Drosophila melanogaster: one gene and its partners. Changing the gene in region 1 together with any one later gene gives a genetic interaction. Each region holds a gene or a part of one and is shown on either strand. Other genes may lie near its edges.

Region 1 (8,737 bases):
GCAAGCCGCGCTCTCCCCTCAGCGGGGATTTCCTTGTTAGTTCAGTGACCACTACGTGTTGGTTGTAAGCGTACAAAGGTGACATAGTGATTCCCACCGTTGAGATTAAGAGATAGCACACGCCAGCGAACACAAAATTATGCCAGATTCCAGCGCACAGAACACGTAGCTTGCGGAACCAACGTAGACTGTTTAAGTGGTCGTGGGAGAGCTCCGTGTATGCTAACGGCAGGCAGAAGATGAACTGAAATATTAATATTTACCTAATTAGTAAGCGTATTAGGTTGTAAAGTACGCTATATCATTCTAACCTTTATTCCAAACCCGGTGACAGGCACATCCTCCATCACAGCGGCCAGGGCGTGTCCCATCTCGTGCACCACCAAGCAGAGCACAAGGGTTGTGATGTAGTATCCGATCTCCTCCAACGGCAAGTTGACGCCGGGCAGTAGAATTTCCAGCTGCACAGGGACTCCAACGGGCGAGGATACAGACGAAGAGCTGTCTTGTTCACCACTGCTGAAGATAGTGGCAATGAGCAGGATCAGACCGATCGGGAGCAGAGAAAAGGTGACCAGGACTCCTACATTAAAGCTGGTGATCATTACTCTCCGGGTGCAGCTGTTACCGGCAGATCCCCAGCGTAGGAGGGTCCTGTTAAAGGCACTCGTGTGCCAGTGGAGGCTCATGAAATTTATACTCAGCCCGGTGTTCTTGAGGAAGGCATCGTACGGGTAGTGCATGCAACTCTAAGGGATTACATTAAGTATCTGGACGTACTTTGGCTGGATATACTACACCTTGAAGAAGCGGTCGAAAAAGTAAAGAACGCCATAAAGCGATGCCAGTACTATGAAGAACACGAAGGGATCCATGGCTGGTGAGGTCTCAAGATGTCATTGGTTTGTTGGGATTAGGATGGTGATGCGGATTCTACAGTTGGGGGTCCTCCGGTTGCTGGACGTCACTTGCGAATGCTAGTAGTCCCTACCGGACGGGATTCCTTCCCGAAATCTTACTCCTCTGGTCCCGACTCCTTATACCAGCAATGCTGTGTAGTCCAGACCAGAAATCAGCATTAATCACGTCTGGGAATCTTGTGCGCAAATTAACCTGCGTAAAAAATCGAAATACCAAAAGCTAATCGCAATCGATTGCAGAACTTATCGATGGCCGCTTTATCAATAATACCGATAAGCAAGCTTATTTGGGCGCGAAAGTTTTGAACATTTTCAACTATTCAACGTCAAACAAAGAAAACTGTTGAACAACTCAAAAACAACAATTAAAATTTTTTTATGAAAATGATTTGCTTTCAATATAAAAAAATTCAAAATCCATTGTGTTAAGTGACTTAAAATACATCAAACACATGAGCGAACAGGAATTCTCATATAAGAGACTTTTGCCGACTTGCAGGCTGATCGTCTCCATTATGGCCTGCGTATCCTGTATATCGGGCGTGGCTGCCGGCTATCTTTTCATGACCAGTTTATCAGGTGTCTCTGAAGCGGTAAAGATTGTGTGGACCACCGGATCGGCTCTCTATGCATTATCCTCGCTCCTGTTGATTATTGCAGTTTGGAAGGTTAACCTGAAGCAAAATTAATTGAGGAAATATTCTTAAGAATCCTGTGATTTTGCAGTTCATTAAATGGCTGGCCTATCCATACATGTGCATGCTGCTCATGGCCATTGCCGTCTACACGATGATCCTGCAGTGGCTACTCAAGAACCTACCGGCTGCCGTTTTCTCATCTGTGGCCATCAGCTTTATATTTCTTGGAGTGGCGTTGAACATGACCAAAAGCCTGGAAGAACTACGCACTTCTCTATAGAGCAATGCAAAGTGTTCTCGTTTAGTTTTGGATTTATATTATAAATTTGCCGTGCAGTAATCAAGAGCAACGAATACACCTACTTTGATTAAAATTGAAAAATTATAGGTATATGAAAATCTAGCATGAGAAATTGTAAAGTTACATTTGTTAAATTTGTGTGACTTTAATTCGTAAGGCAATTCGTAATTCATTCATCAGCTGTTTTCAGAAATAAAAGTAGGTGGTTCTGGCAACAGGCGGCCAAAAGAACCTAGCAAAACAAAACGGATGAAAACCAATGGAAAGGAAGAGAGGACCTCTTACTCTTGTTTTTCCTTTTTCCATGCCGAAACTCACCACCACCAAGTTCACCTTAACTGAGTTGGGTTTTCAATGGACCTCCAGAGGACATGAGTATCATCAGTTTAGTCGTGAGCTTGAGCAGCAGCAGAACAGTCGCATCCGCCAAAAAGGGCAACAAACGAAGAGTACTCACGAAAAATAAAAAGGCTTTTGCAAAGGGTTTTCCCAATCAGAGAAAGTGTTCAATAGCTTCAGGCGTATTTTTAACCAATTTAACTCACTGGAAGGATCCAATTCGTTCGATTGTGATTGAGTAAGCTAAGAACAAAGGACTTCAGCTGGAATCTCGCCCCATATCGATTTGTTCCAAAAACTGCATATTCGCCAGCGAGTGAGTGAGAGAGTGCGCTTGTGCCGAAAACGGATACGGAAGGGGGCGACAAGGAAGCGGAAGCGGAAACAGCTGCTGCATAAACAATAGTAACAGGGAATACTGTGTGTCACATCAACGCATCATGACGCCAGAGCAGCAAGGATATTGCCCCTAGGAAAACCCATACAAGTTCCTCAAGGAAGCCCTCAAGAAAAAGCGAACGAAAATCGCAATCGATTCGGAGAACAAACCATCAAGACGAACCCGCAAAGGATTCAGTGCCAAAGGAGCCGTTCCGGCAGAAGCAGCAGTAGCAAGAGAGTATTTATTTTGGGCCAACCGGTGAAGGCCCGCGAACGTCAGCTCTTCAGGACTTTAAGGACCCAAAGCAGAGGCAACCCAATGCATTTGGGTGCACAACAACAACGCCCCAAGCAACAACAACAACAGCGCGAGCAACAAGAGAAACATCAAAGGCGTTTCACGTTCAGTAAAGGACGGCAATGTCGTCCCTACAGCGTGACTGGCATTTACAGGTGAGTAGTACTACCCAGCATCCCATTATCCTTACTTTGGGAAGGTCAGGAACCATCCCCCTTGATTCCTCCTCGCTGCCTTTTCTGGGGAGTGGGCCAATGGCAATCGTATTGAGGTAGCTGGAGTTTGGGTTCCTCTGGTGAGCATGCGCACTGGACCAGAGAGTGTTTTACGAGTACGTAAACATTGCAAGCGACAGGAGAATGGGTCAACGTCACAAGTTGCATCCATCTTAGTCGCTTTAGAAGAACGGGGACAAGAAAGTAAACAATACATGCCCCGACTGCTGATGGAAAGACCGAAAACCACAAGCCAAAGTTCAGTCGTGGCATGGTGTTGACCTTTAATGACACCTATTAAATCGAATAGAAGTGTTCATTTCTACTAGTTTTGACACAAATGAAAAGTAACTTTTTATTATGCTTATAATTATACTTACACTTACAATCGTTGATTTTGTAAACACTTAAAACATGAATTTTGAGCCAAATTTAAGTAGGTGTTTACACTCGCATATGGGAGTACAGCATCCCTACACTTAAGCATCAATGTCCTGCTGATTGGGTGAACTAATTGGCCTAGGCCTGTGCAACCTAATATCTATTATTACGGAGGGCTAGCAATTACGGGTGGCTCAACAAGTTGTGCGTCAAGTCCTCCCCACTAGATTCCCTCCCCGACTAGATACCACCCTCGACCAGCCGACTTGAGGCCACCCCTTTCACCTTGACCGCTTATCGTTCAGGCCCACACACGAGCGCCAACTAACTTGGCCCGGGGGAAGGTTCTTCCGTTTCATTAAGCGCTGGCAAAGGCCTTGAAATGTTGGGAAATTGAAAACAACCAGCGATTGCAGAGCTGCCCCAGCGAAAGCTTCCTGACAGCTTAAGCCGGATTCCAGCTGACAGCAGAGGGTGGTCTTGGGGGTTCTTGGCGTCCAGGATATCGTATACCATCGCATGCCACGGCGACGTGGGCCTTTGACATTCGACAAGGTCACTGGCTCTAGGATGCTGTGACTCATGCTCTTGAGGGGGAGTTGCCAAATGCCAAGAGTTGGCCAACGCTCATTAGTCGTGTCAGATGTGTGACTGCATTTTGCACTCGTTCAAGAATATTGCATGCCATCTATTTGGCATATTTCTACCATCAATATGGCTGACAGTTCATAAGCGGCACGAAGTTCGACAAATGACATGCCACGTAAACAAAAGACAAATTTATTAAATTTACTTTCAAAGTTAGAATTCAATTATATAAATTTACTTGGCTTTATTAAGCATAAGTGATGTTATGATTTGTTACATTTACCATGCAATATTTATTCGTTATAATAATTATTGATTATTTGCTCATTAAGAACTGACATGCTTAGATAGGATACTTAAGTAAAAGCAAATAAAAAGGTTGACTAAGGATAGAGCGCTTCACCTAATATATTGTGCATAGGTTTAACCAGCGTTGGGCACCAATCCTTCTTTCTAATGGGCACACACGTCGCATACTTGATATTTGATGCCAGCAATGTATCATATTTCGTATACGTACGTCATTGGAAGTACCAAGAAATAGGTGGGAGCGGGACAACTAAGTGCGAAATAAGAAGCTATTAGGAAATGAGTTATTACGAACTGTTGGTTATAACAATAAGATTGCGACAGCACATAAATATTAAGGGGGCAGGTGTTGAAATCTAATTAGGAATAGTTCAATATGAGGTAAAAATATTAACTGTGCACATATAACATAAAGTTTTAAATGTATATATTAGTTAGTATGTATAGTTGAGCTGTTGGCATGGCTGTAAACCCAATAATACCTTACATCAACTTACCGAATTTCGTTTTTGACTGCTTTCCAATTGTGTCCTTTCTACGAGGGCTTGGCAAAGATTGGCGTCTTATCAGCACGGGTATATTTCCTGGCATTAGCCTTCGGTTCGAGCATTGCATCGTCCTTGGATTGGAGCAAACACCCACCACTGCTCCTTTGGGGCCAATCGAACCCCCCATCAATTTCCGGCAACAAAGACAGAAACTAAAAAAGTGCTGAAAGGCAACCGCATGCCAGACCAGACCCACCTCGCTCTTGACCCTGAGTCGTCGGAAAATGGAGGTTTCGTGGGAGGAAGTGGCAGCGGATCCCGCAGACAAATGGAAAATTCCCAGACGTCATGCCAGCCCGCAAGGCACAGCATGCACCTGCAGCCTGGCATCGATTTAACAAAGTACATATAACAAGAAAATCCGCTCGGTCCGCGGGTAATTACATAGCCCAGCGGAGCGGGAATCGGGAAGGAACTGGATGTTAACTCAATTAAACAAAACGTATTGCATACATTAGGTCGTTGCAGCGATGTCGTCTATAAGGCGGCAGATCGCGTGCGCTCCTCGCATTTCGTTTAGCAATGCAAATTGGGCTAAGTTGTTGCTTCCTTGACCCGCCTCCAGTCGATTTGTCAACAGCCCCGGATTTCTGACGGGGTTTAACCCATTTTTGAATGCTACGGCGGAGGCGGAATTTTTGGATGCACGCCAATTTGGGACATTAACTTTTGATGTCTACTACTTGATAAGAACTTTCGCAATTAAATTGGCCCATTTTCTTGGGTTGCTTACTTCGTTAACTTGTTATGTTATTTAATTGTTATTTAAAAAAAACATCCCTCCATACTCCATACTCCATATCTTAAACACACTTTCATAGATTTATATTAAATATTGCACTAGATAACCAGCATATTTAATGTTTAACGATACAAAAATACTATTTATGTTTTTCGCAGGGTTCCCGGGGATCGGTTTACTGCGCGAGTGAACCGGACCCAACTGGTGGAGTCCAGTACGAGTCGGGAGGGTGCCTTCTCCACACGAAGACGGCTGAGGGCTCCGGCGGAGGGGCGGGCGTGGACGGGTCCGGTGGCGGAGTCGGCCTCGAATGCGGCTCCCTGTTCTCGGTGGTATCAGCGCCGCCGGCTCCACTGCCCGACATCGTTGTGCCCACCGAGATGGATGGCAAACACATGGAGTCCGCCGCCTTCCGCTCCGGATGCTGTTCACCCAACGCCTCGCCCATGCGACGACCCGCCACCCTCAGCCTGGACACGCAATGCTGCCCGAGGACCCTGCACGCCAGCCTGCTGGAGCATCAGATCTCCGAGCTGGAGGAGGACGACAATGAGAACCTGCTGACCGTGTCCAGCATCACGGCGCGACCGTTGATTGCCAAATCGCATGAGCTTCGCAGCAGTCGGAAGTCGGGTTCAGGTTCCGGATCTGGTTTGAATACGGCCCGCAGCAGGTGCGTCCGCCGGGCCAAGGAGCGCGAGCGGGATCGCGTGACCGTCGCCAGGCGTAGCAAGCAAGTGGTCAAGGATCGGGACTCCTCAACGACCACAACGGAGAGCGGTGGTCCGAATGTGGAGCCACCGGACGGCGGTTACGGTTGGTTCATCGTCTTTGGGGCCTTCTCCGTGCAATTCTGGGTGGCCGGACTGGTCAAGTCGTACGGCGTGCTGTATGTGGAGATTATGGAGACATTTCCCAGCTCTACGGCCACCGTGGCCTCCTGGATTCCAGCGATCCTGTCGGCTCTATGTCTGGTCCTGGCCCCGCTGTCCAGTGCTCTTTGCCAGCGATTCTCCTGCCGAACGGTGGTCTTCGTCGGCGGCATTTTCTGCGCCATGGGCATGATACTGAGCTACTTTGCCACCAGTCTGCTGCACCTCCTCCTAACATTTGGCGTACTCACAGGTGCATAATGTATAATCAATTTAAATTTATCCTCATCACATTAGTAATTATATTTATTTAGTTATCATGATGTTTATATTTAACTATTTCTTCACGCCCAGGTATTGGAGGTGGCCTCTCGACTACTCCGGGCATAGTGATAGTGTCCCAATACTTTGACAAGCACCGTGCATTGGCCAATGGAATCTGCGTTTCGGGCACTGCCGCCGGCAGCTTCATCCTACCCGTTCTGATAAAGCACCTCGCGGAGAACTGTGGCTTCCACGGCACTATTCTGATCCTGGGCGGTTGCATGCTTCACGTGTGCGTTTCGGCCACACTTTACCGCCCAATCAGTGCTTACACGGATCAGGACTCGGGCCAGGGACAGGAGGAGACGGCAAAGCCCCTCAACGAAGACATCAATCCGAGCACCACGGGCATTCTGACTACATCCACCTACCTAGACACCTGCGATGTGGGTGCAGGCCACGAGCTGAGCGACAAGTTTATCGAGCATCTGTTCCTGGAGGAGTCCAAGAACCACCTGAACTACTATGCCAGCAAGCAGCCAGGTGGGAGTATTATTTCATCGAGGAAAACTCCAAATAATAAATCCCATTTGGTTACTTAGCCCAGGACAAGTCAGCGCAGGAGAGTGACGACGAGGTAAAGGATATTATTGGCGAGACCACTTTCATCAAGCCCATGAAGAAGGTGCGCAGTTCCGGATTGCTGCACTCCGTCGAAGATCTGAGCACGGACTCCACTTGGGTCTATCGCAAGCACTCCGGCACGGACTCCAATCGCGGAAGTCGTCGTCGGCGCAATGTCTTTGCCAACGACGAGGTGATATCCAAGATACAAGCCCACTTGGAGAAGCCTCTTTCGCCGCCGAGTGTGGTCAGTCGCGGACTCAGCAAGAGCATGGAGATACCCACTCCGGTTAGCAACCTCAGTGATCTCAAGCAGCAGCCGGTGGAGCAGGCGGAGCTCGGCATTCTAGACTCCCAGCTGGTGGAGTCCATTATCGATGGCGACGGCCACCTTGCCGCCGATGAGGATGACGATGACGACGAAGAGCGGGGACCACGCACTTGCTGCGAGCGCATCGAGATGTACCTGGACATCAGTCTGCTGCAGGACCCGAGCTTTATCCTGATGTGCCTATCCGTCACCTTGATGTCCGTCGGCTGTCCCTACATGTTGTACTATCTGCCCGCCCACGTTATTTCAATAGGTATACTATTTAAAATGTTCAAAGTATATTCTTTCGGCGTACGATTTTAAATATTATAAACTTGGTTCATCTTTAGGATACAATAAAAGTGAGGCGGGATACCTGGTGGCCATCAGCGCGGTCCTAGATTTAATTGGGCGCCTTGGACTTGGCTGGCTGTGCGACCTGCAGCTATTCGATCGCAAGAAGACCTACACCTTGTGGTGAGTACCAGATAAGGTTTATTTTTCGATCCAAACTAATCACATTTCCCTATATCGACAGCATTTTGGGCGCCGGATGTGCCGTGCTCACAATTCCCTTCGCCAAGACTCTGGTTTTGGTGGGTCTATCGGCCGCTGTCTACGGACTTTGCCTGGGTAGCTGGTATGTACTTATGCCGGTCCTCCTTGCGGACGTCTTTGGCACGGACAGGATCAGCTCGAGCTACGGGCTGGTGAGGATGTTCCAGAGCATCGGGGCCATATCGGTGCCTCCGCTGGCAGGACTGATGCGAGACCTTTCCGGAGACTACGAGATATGCTTCTACTGCATGGGATCCTGCATGGTGCTCGGGACCACTCCGCTGATTGTGTGGTCCATCCTGGAGGCCCGCAACCATCGGTTGTTTGTTCAGCGCGAGGAGGAGGAGTGCGAGGAGGCCTAGAAATGATTCGGATTCGTTGGTTGCCCCATATGTTAATAGTGTTTTAGTAGCGATCAAATACTAGTTGAGTTCCTGAGTTTCAGAGTT
Region 2 (5,043 bases), on another chromosome or scaffold:
TCAGATGCTTTTGACTTATTTTTGCAACAATTTCTCTATTTCTATTTTCAATAATTAACCACCCCTTTCACTTTTCAATTGATTTTGTAAAATTAATTTTTGGCCAAAATTTTCGCATTTTTTGTAAGGGGTACCATCATCAAAATTTGCAAAAAAATGAAAAATCCTAGAATTCCCAAACTTGAATGCAAATCGATTGGAATTTAAAAAACAAACTCAACGATGTATGACATTCCATATTTGAGTCATTATTTTCAATGTTTTGATCAAAATACCGAATATTTTTTTCACAAAAAATCTGGAAACTACTTTTGGCAAAAAACTCAATTTTCAAGTTGGCTTTTTTGGCTATAACTTGTCTAAAAATGGTCACAGAGCAAAAAGAATTACCATTTTATACTCCTTATGACCAATACTAACAACCCCTATCACTTTAAAACGGATTTTGTAAAATTAATTTTTGGCCAAATTTTCACATTTTTTGTAAGGGGTAACATCATCAAAATTTGCAAAAAAATGAAAAATCCTAGAATTCCCAAACTTGAATGCAAATCGATTGGGATTTAAAAAACAAACTCAACGAGGTATGACATTCCATATTTGAGTCATTATTTTCAATGTTTTGATCAAAATACCGAATATTTTTTTCACAAAAAATCTGGGAACTACTTTTGGCAAAAAACTCAATTTTCAAGTTGGCTCTTTTGGCTATAACTTGTCTAAAAATGGTCACAGAGCAAAAATAATTACCATTTTATACTCCTTATGACCAATACTAACAACCCCTATCACTTTAAAACGGATTTTGTAAAATTAATTTTTGGACAAATTTTCGCATTTTTTGTAAGGGGTACCATCATCAAAATTTGCAAAAAAATGAAAAATTCTAGAATTCCCAAACTTGAATGCAAATCGATTGGGATTTAAAAAACAAACTCAACGAGGTATGACTTTCCATATTTGAGTCATTATTTTCAATGTTTTGATCAAAATACCGAATATTTTTTTCACAAAAAATCTGGAAACTACTTTTGGCAAAAAACTCAATTTTCAAGTTGGCTTTTTTGGCTATAACTTGTCTAAAAATGGTCACAGAGCAAAAAGAATTACCATTTTATACTCCTTATGACCAATACTAACAACCCCTATCACTTTAAAACGGATTTTGTAAAATTAATTTTTGGCCAAATTTTCACATTTTTTGTAAGGGGTAACATCATCAAAATTTGCAAAAAAATGAAAAATCCTAGAATTCCCAAACTTGAATGCAAATCGATTGGGATTTAAAAAACAAACTCAACGAGGTATGACATTCCATATTTGAGTCATTATTTTCAATGTTTTGATCAAAATACCGAATATTTTTTTCACAAAAAATCTGGGAACTACTTTTGGCAAAAAACTCAATTTTCAAGTTGGCTCTTTTGGCTATAACTTGTCTAAAAATGGTCACAGAGCAAAAATAATTACCATTTTATACTCCTTATGACCAATACTAACAACCCCTATCACTTTAAAACGGATTTTGTAAAATTAATTTTTGGACAAATTTTCGCATTTTTTGTAAGGGGTACCATCATCAAAATTTGCAAAAAAATGAAAAATTCTAGAATTCCCAAACTTGAATGCAAATCGATTGGGATTTAAAAAACAAACTCAACGAGGTATGACATTCCATATTTGAGTCATTATTTTCAATGTTTTGATCAAAATACCGAATATTTTTTTCACAAAAAATCTGGAAACTACTTTTGGCAAAAAACTCAATTTTCAAGTTGGCTTTTTTGGCTATAACTTGTCTAAAAATGGTCACAGAGCAAAAAGAATTACCATTTTATACTCCTTATGACCAATACTAACAACCCCTATCACTTTAAAACGGATTTTGTAAAATTAATTTTTGGCCAAATTTTCACATTTTTTGTAAGGGGTACCATCATCAAAATTTGCAAAAAAATGAAAAATCCTAGAATTCCCAAACTTGAATGCAAATCGATTGGGATTTAAAAAACAAACTCAACGAGGTATGACATTCCATATTTGAGTCATTATTTTTAATGTTTTGATCAAAATACCGATTATTTTCTTCACAGAAAACTGGGAAACTATTTTTGGCAAAAAACTCAATGTTTAAGTTCGCTTTTGTGGCTATAACTTGACTAAAAATGGACTCACAGCAAAAAGAATTACCATTTTATACTCCTTATGATCAACACTAACCATCCCTTTAACTTTTTAATTGATTTTGTAAAATTAATTTTTGGACAAATTTTCGCATTTTTTGTAAGGGGTACGTACCATCATCAAAATTTGCAAAAAAATGAAAAATTCTAGAATTCCCAAACTTGAATGCAAATCGATTGGGATTTAAAAAACAAACTCAACGAGGTATGACATTCCATATTTGAGTCATTATTTTCAATGTTTTGATCAAAATACCGAATATTTTTTTCACAAAAAATCTGGAAACTACTTTTGGCAAAAAACTCAATTTTCAAGTTGGCTTTTTTGGCTATAACTTGTCTAAAAATGGCCTCACAGCAAAAAGAAAAGAAGTCAAGAAGATTACGCATGGCAAAAAAGCAATATTTACGGAAGATAATGTATTTATATACCTAAGCTAAGCTTTATATGGTAAACTACCTAAGCTAAGCTATAATAATGCATTATAAATTTACCAACAAGTCACATACAGCATTTTGAATCTTCCGCCAAATGAAATTTCCGCGTAATCGCGAATACCCCATATGTAGTAACTTTCTGACAGACCGAGTGCGATCTGGCAGCACCGCTCAGAACATATGTTCAGTTGTCTGGTGGAAAGAAGAAGCACAGATGCGGCGCCTGGTGCGAAATTGGAATTGCCGATTGTTATTTAACGCCAAATCCGGCCAAGAAATTGTCAGCCATGCCGGAATTCACCAGGAGGCCAAGACCAATGCGATTCCCAGGGAAAAGAAAGTGATTGAGGCGGACAAGAATGGATACGGGGCCAAACATTGCATGAGTCTAGTGGAGTAAGTAGCGCAAACTTGTCGATTGAAGTTATCCGTATAATTGAACATGGATCTATTCCGGATAACCAGGAAATACGACTACGAGAACTACCTGTGCACCTTGCTCCTACCACGGGAACTGCGACGTGCTGCCTTCGCCCTACGGGCATTCAATGTGGAGGTCTCCAGATCGGTTAGCGGCCATGTGAGTGGAGCATCGAAATTCCTTGGGGCTTATTTTTTAAGTTAGAATAACGTGGCGCCTTAAATTCAGACTCCGTTCAGACTCTGTTACTCCGCATCAATATTATTGTAAGCATAAGTGGCTTATGTCCGCATCTCATGAATATTATTACCATTTCGAACGGTTTCACAAATCTCTTAATTTCTTATGTACACTGCAAGAGTATAATTTCTCTCCTTCCTTTAAAACGGATAGAGAAATTCGTAGAATAAGCAACACTTCGTAGTTTTTAAACTTCTTATTTCTGTCCAGTAAAATCGTTTATATAATGACAAATATCCTTGCAGCAAATTGAGCCGCAAATAGCCAAAATGCGCCTTAAGTTCTGGCACGACTCCATAGACAAGTGCTTTGAGCCGGATTCCCAAAGATCGTACGTGGAGGACCAGCCTGTCCTGCGCGAACTGAAGCACACGGTGGGCAGTCGCAAGCTAAATAAGGTATATTTGCGCCGTCTGGTCACAGCACGGGAACGTCCGCCCACGCATGCATTTGAGTCGATACGCGAGCTGGAGGAGTACACGGAACAGACCTTCTCTTCGCTATTGCTCCTGCTGTTGGAGGTGGGCGGAGTGCGTGACCTAAATGCTGATCATGCCGCCTCCCACTTGGGCAAGGCCCAAGGCATCGCCACCCTGCTGCGATCGATACCGCTGGCAGGACGTCAGCAGGCGCCCTGCATTCCGCTCGAGGTGCTGGTGCTGCATGGCGTCAGCCAGGAGCGCATCATTCGCTCTAAGAGCGACGACAAGGGTGTCGAGGACTGTATATTCGATGTGGCCAGTGCCGCCAATACGCACCTAAAGCTCGCCAGGCAGCTGCACGATAAGGTGCCGCCGCAGGTGCGCAAGATCTTCCTCTCCGCCGTGGCCACGGATGCATATTTGGAGCGCCTCCGCCGTGCCAACTTCCTGTGAGTTCCTTTGTTTTATATTGCTTTGTTTTATATTACGACAAACACAGGAGAGAACCAGCTTCTTTTTGTAGTTAAGATGTTATTTTTATCCAGTTATAAGTACGATTTGCCTTTATTGAGACTTCTTTATTTCAAAACCTAGCTATAGTTTGTTGGTTGTTCAGTATTCATGGAGCGGACCCTTCTTTTTATCAATCCCCATAATAATATAATAATTTTCCCATCTTATAGGCTAACCCACAAGAGCTGCGTAGGCCGCGACACCTTACTGCCAGCACGTTTATTCTGGAAGTCGCTGCTTAATCGGTTCTGATAGCGATTATGTTAGTATGTAGTACGAAATAAATTCTTCATTGTTGACTTCTTTAATAAAAATCACTTTAAAATAAGAGCTCTTACTTTTTCTCGAATCAATAGAAGAGGATTTCCAATGTTTATAAGAATACGAATATGAATCGGATCGGGGATCTTTTGGATGAAATGGGTTAAGAACGGTTGCAGGAATATCGCTATCTCGCTTCGAATCGGGACGTAATTACTATCGATGACAGGTGCACCAAAGGTTCGTCCCGACGAAGGTATCGGTGGATACGATGCAAGACCCGATTGGTACAGTAGTTGCTAGCTGATTTCAGAGCGTTTCAGGCGCAGTTTTAGTTTTTTATGAATGTTAGAATTGATGTGGAAAGTGTGTGTTGGATATTAATGAGAACGGAGCAGTGCGACGATCGCTCAACAAGATAAGCACCGTTTGTTTTTGGGCCCGTTTCCGGCTTCCGGTTGCTAGTTCCGGAAAAATTGCAACGCCTACTTTACGCGTACTTTTGGCATGGTGAGTTTTTGGCGCGCTTTCTTCGCACTCCTGGATTGAACTTTGTAAACCCAGA
Region 3 (4,722 bases), on another chromosome or scaffold:
TGGCGTATGTGTACTCGCCAGATGGACGGTTCGCCCAGGCGGAGCTGGCTGTCACCAAGGATAATCCGGCTATTTCCATGATCGACGATTCCGACGAGGATGTTGTCTACGGTTCCGACGAGGAGTCACGGCGACCGCTCACCTCTGTGGGCGGCGGTGCTGGAAAGAACGATTACGACAGCGATTGATCGGCGATTAAGAAGTATCCGCGGCAGAACGAATACCCAAATGTTCCATAGCGCAATTGAAGTTTTAGTGCTAAATGTGTACAAAGTATTCCCTAATATAATGCATAAATTAACTTAAAATTTCAAAAAATTAATCTCTGGTTGATCAATGAAACTGGAGAGGATCGAAATATGTTTGGGTATTCATGATTAAGCTGAATTCGAAATTTATGTTAAAAAAAAAGTATAAATAAACCCAATAGTTCGAGTTTTGTTGTATGAAAAGTATTTACAATCGATATTTACCATATTCGCTTTTTAACTAATTGGGTTCTGATTATTTTACTAGACTGTTTATTAGATAATTAACACATTTCGCCAGGTGATTTCAACTCGAAAGCATAGCAAAAACCCTCTAGATGCCCTGGTTGATGCCTATTTTCGTCTTGGTGAGGAGACCCTCGTCGCCCATGTCTGCATTGTAGCCAGGACGGTACTTCATGCCGGGAGCCTGTGTGCAAAGGGGCAGAATTAATGTGAAAAGAAATCGAACAGGGAAATGGAAACACCGAACTTACATTGAACCAGACATCACGCCAGACTTTGCCGTCGTCAGCGCTGCGCACCAGCTCCGGGACATCGAAACGCGGCACATTGAAGTAATTCATCAGATCGGGCTTCTCATGGCAGTACTTGATACGGGCTTCGCACCACTCGGCCTCCAGCGGGAAACGCCAGTCGAGCATCTTCTTGTTGTGAATATCGGCCTCAAACTGGTTGAAGTCGATGCGTTCGATATCCTCCACCACAACCTCAGTCTCACCGCCGGCTGTCCAGTCGTAGATGAGCAGCTCGGCATGGGTGGAGATGTCCTTGAGGTACTGCTGCTTGTACAGCTGCTCCAAATCGCTCAAGTAGGCATCGCTGAACACCTTTGACTGCACCTCGTAGTCCACATTGCGTGCCTTGATCTGCTTCTTCACGGCATCGACCGGCAGATCCAAGTAGATAACCAAATGCGGCTTCAGCAGCTCCCCGATGGTGTTCTGTCGGAGCTCATTATACACGGAACGCGCACCGCGTGACAGATAACCCTGCCGAAACATGGCCTCCATGAAGACAAAGTCCGAGTAGGGGCTGCGCTCGAGGACAACACCCTGGCCGGTGCTAAGGACGTGCTGCAGGGCATCAATGTACTGCGAATAGCGCAGCATGTACATGCGAATCTGGAACTGGGCAGCCAGATCGTGGCTGGGATCCAGGCAGAAGTTGCGCACATCGTAGCTTCGGCAGCTGGGCGGCAACTGAGGATCCAACTTCCTCATGTCATAGCCGTACGAATTGATGTAGATTAGGTCCAGATCAACTGCCGGATAGTACTCCATGTCCAGCTCCTCAGCCAGTTCCTTGGCGAACTTTGACTTGCCGGCCGCGATGGGTCCCTCCACACAGATCACCTTGGAGTTCTCGTCAAAACGCTTGGAGGTCTTGTCGAAAATAGCATTGAACACGCTGTACTTCTTCGTCTTGTACGGATAGGGGGCGGCCTTGGGCACCCGTGGTCCACCTCGCATCGTCTTGCCGGAGATGCTGCATCGCTGCTGGAAGGCAGCAGGCAGGGCATTCGTCTGCGCCTGGAGTAGATTGGGCGACTGTGTGGCGCGGCTGACGAGCCGCACCAGTCCTACGCGGAACACGGCGGTCATTCTGAAGGGAAAACAAGGGTCAGTACAAAAACGAAACAAGATAATAACAATTATATCTCGTCCAGTGGCAATTTGTCGTGTGGTTACATCACAGGAGCTACGCAGGTAGTGCGGTAATCTCTGCCCTAGAACTGCAGATATGCGGATCTTTTCGTTGCATTCTGCTGGCCAGCATTGCGGCGCTCCATAGATTTACCCAAATTGTCGGTTTTAATGCTCTATCCGGTGGTATTTACTCACTTTTCAATCTAAATATCGGAAGTCTACCCAAAAACAAATTTCGGGCTATGGTTGGTGTTGGAAAACTCCCCGAATAGGGCTGTCAAGGTATCCGTTCAAATATCAAAAATGTAAAATCAAAATGTTTGTCTATGCTTTAACTGCGACTTTTCTCAGAATCAGAAAGAATTTCATATGAAATGAAATTTAACCCAGTATTTTAAAAACTTTATATAACACTTACAAAATAACATTTTAATGTATAAATGTATTTGTTTTACTTTTTAAAAATATCGCAAAGCGACTGCTCAACACTACACAGCACAGCTGGGGTGTTTAACTACAAGTTAATTTACTTGAAATAAATTCAACAATGCTTTTCATTTGTAGACAGACACACACCATAAACTCACATTGCCGTGCGGTGCGAGTTGATTTTTTAAATTTTTAACTTAACATATTGTCACGGTGCAGAAACAACTGGTCCACTTTCCGTTGGTCTGGCAGCCCTGACCACAACCTCGCTGCATTTTGGGCTCAAAAGTTCTAACGATGAACTAACGAAAATATAAATCAAAATTTAAGGCGAAAGGCTCCAGGAGAAGATCGACAAATATCGAGAGTTGTGACCATTAGGATCGAGTAAGTCCTGGCGTTGGGGCCCAGCACTGGGAGTGTAACCCACTCCTTACAGTTACGCAACTGAGAACTAATGCGATTTTCCTCGTGACACAGATTTTGTTATTAACCAATCCCCAGCAGAAATGGGCAATACAGCCATCACCCGAGTGCAAATGGAGGCCACGAAGAGTGTGCCGGTGGACCACGCCAAGTACATGAGCGGCAGTGGTGCCCCGCCACCAGAATGCCCCATGCATCAGAAGCATGGAGATGCAAAATCGGCCTCCGCCGTACCCCCACATCCCAAGATGCAGGCCGCTTCCGAATGTCCGGTGCAGCACGACAACAGCGACGTTAATCCGCTGAATATGATGCCACCGGCAAACCAACAGCCGGCGGCAGATCAGCCCTTTCCACTGCCCACCGACCGCCAGACGTCGACCATTCCCAAAGTCACCGAGGATGGCAGCGTTCAATTCTGGCAGTATCCCAGCCAACAGATGTTCTGGAACGCCATGCTACGCAAGGGCTGGCGCTGGAAGACCGAGGACGTATCGCAAAAGGACATGGGCGACATCATACGCATCCACAATGCCAACAACGAGCAGGCCTGGCAGGAGGTACTTAAGTGGGAGGCGCTTCACGCCAAGGAATGCGGCAATCCGCGCCTCAAGAGTTTCGGTGGCAAGGCCAAGGACTTCAGTCCGCGCGCTCGATTCCGCAGCTGGCTGGGGTGAGTATACTCCAGACGGAAGATCTCACCTGAATTAATGTTCGAATTGTCTTACAGATACGAGCTGCCATTCGATAGGCATGACTGGATAGTCGATCGCTGCGGCAAGGATGTGCGCTACGTCATCGACTACTACGACGGTGGACTGGTGGACAAAGACTACCGCTTTGCCCTGCTGGATGTGCGCCCAGCCATGGACTCCGTGGACAACGTTTGGGACAGAATGCGCGTAGCTTACATGCGCTGGAAGTACGAGCTGTTTGAGAAGTTTGGCAGCGCGGATGGCGGCAAAGTGACCGCTGGTAGCGACTAGATGGAATGCATATTTAGATGATCGCTATAGGTACAAAATCGGCTTAAGTTATCGAATGGATGGAAGAGGGAGTTTGGTTAAATGCGTTTAAGACGCTGCGAAGCGAAACGATGTTGAGCCCTCTCTTTAAATAAATGTTGAATCTTGACTTCTGAACACCAAAATTCGAATGTGGTTTTGCTTTTTATTTTATTCTTTACTTAAATCCTTTTAAGGATTTCGAATTATCCAGTAACGAGTTGATAGCATTGTGGAGGAATATATTAATTAAAGTTTTTTTTTATTGATATACTTATGTATATGCAGAATTCTCATCTGTTCAAAATGCCTGTAAAAATTTTTTTTCTTAATCTTTAGTTTTATATTTTATTTATATGCTCTTTAAAATGATTGCGAAATTATAAAAATACGTTTACTACTTTTTTATCATTACTACAAATTTAAAAAATGTATAGTAAATAGAATATAACTTTAGACGTTTCTTAACTTTTTTAACATACATTTTCTGATAAAAAGTTGATATGCAACCCATAACATTATATGTATGTTTATATGTATGATGCTTTTCTAACACCTGCGGCTTCAGGGGGTTAATGTCTGGCAGTGTTGAAAAGCGCGTGTAAATTCTTTAACTGATTGCTGGTGCCCTCATTACGTGAGATTCGAGTTTGGCCACTGGAGCGTTAATTGGATAGCCGCGATAGATTCGTTCGACGTAAATCAGTCATAAATGCAAGCTGCCAGAATGAGGTTCGTTCAATACCTGCGAAAAGGTGACTTGGCCAAGCGACTTGGTCTACTGTCCGAGGATCAAAAGTCGCTGGTGGAATTTGCCGGCTTGGAGGGTGTGCCCAGCGATCTAAAGATCCTGATTGCCCAGGATCCCAATCTGGAGGAACTGGCGAAGAAGGCCGAAAAGCAGCCGCGACTCGAGGTGAATGATGATGTCACTTTGCTGCCGCC

Evidence for each region. Genes that interact genetically often act in the same process or in processes that back each other up.
Region 2: of Sln (region 1) and sicily, changing one suppresses a phenotype caused by changing the other (phenotypic suppression), as found in Drosophila melanogaster (one study listed by BioGRID).
Region 3: of Sln (region 1) and ND-42, changing one suppresses a phenotype caused by changing the other (phenotypic suppression), as found in Drosophila melanogaster (one study listed by BioGRID).

What each region holds. Positions count from the first base shown.
Region 1 is NT_033778.4:11,843,079-11,851,815, forward strand, and holds the start of Sln (silnoon), read left to right. Parts: upstream 1-2,245; 5' UTR 2,246-2,999; coding exon 3,000-3,032; intron 3,033-5,818; coding exon 5,819-6,785; intron 6,786-6,886; coding exon 6,887-7,339; intron 7,340-7,398; coding exon 7,399-8,004; intron 8,005-8,080; coding exon 8,081-8,207; intron 8,208-8,268; coding exon 8,269-8,650; 3' UTR 8,651-8,737. Other genes in the region: S2P (site-2 protease), read right to left, coding at 1-244, 312-749, 801-875; CG43190 (uncharacterized protein), read left to right, coding at 1,436-1,588, 1,647-1,838.
Region 2 is NC_004354.4:11,889,203-11,894,245, forward strand, and holds sicily (severe impairment of CI with lengthened youth), read left to right. Parts: upstream 1-2,529; 5' UTR 2,530-2,835; coding exon 2,836-3,017; intron 3,018-3,086; coding exon 3,087-3,201; intron 3,202-3,527; coding exon 3,528-4,153; intron 4,154-4,387; coding exon 4,388-4,469; 3' UTR 4,470-4,543; downstream 4,544-5,043. UniProt on the Drosophila melanogaster protein: Involved in the assembly of mitochondrial NADH:ubiquinone oxidoreductase complex (Complex I) at early stages. Interacts with cytosolic Hsp90 to chaperone the Complex I subunit ND-42 in the cytoplasm.
Region 3 is NT_033777.3:22,025,172-22,029,893, reverse strand, and holds ND-42 (NADH dehydrogenase (ubiquinone) 42 kDa subunit), read right to left. Parts: upstream 2,186-4,722; 5' UTR 1,874-2,185; coding exon 746-1,873; intron 679-745; coding exon 583-678; 3' UTR 501-582; downstream 1-500. Other genes in the region: CG13409 (uncharacterized protein), read left to right, coding at 1-188; Cchl (cytochrome c heme lyase), read left to right, coding at 2,857-3,446, 3,504-3,759; CG6028 (uncharacterized protein), read left to right, coding at 4,490-4,722. UniProt on the Drosophila melanogaster protein: Accessory subunit of the mitochondrial membrane respiratory chain NADH dehydrogenase (Complex I), that is believed not to be involved in catalysis. Complex I functions in the transfer of electrons from NADH to the respiratory chain.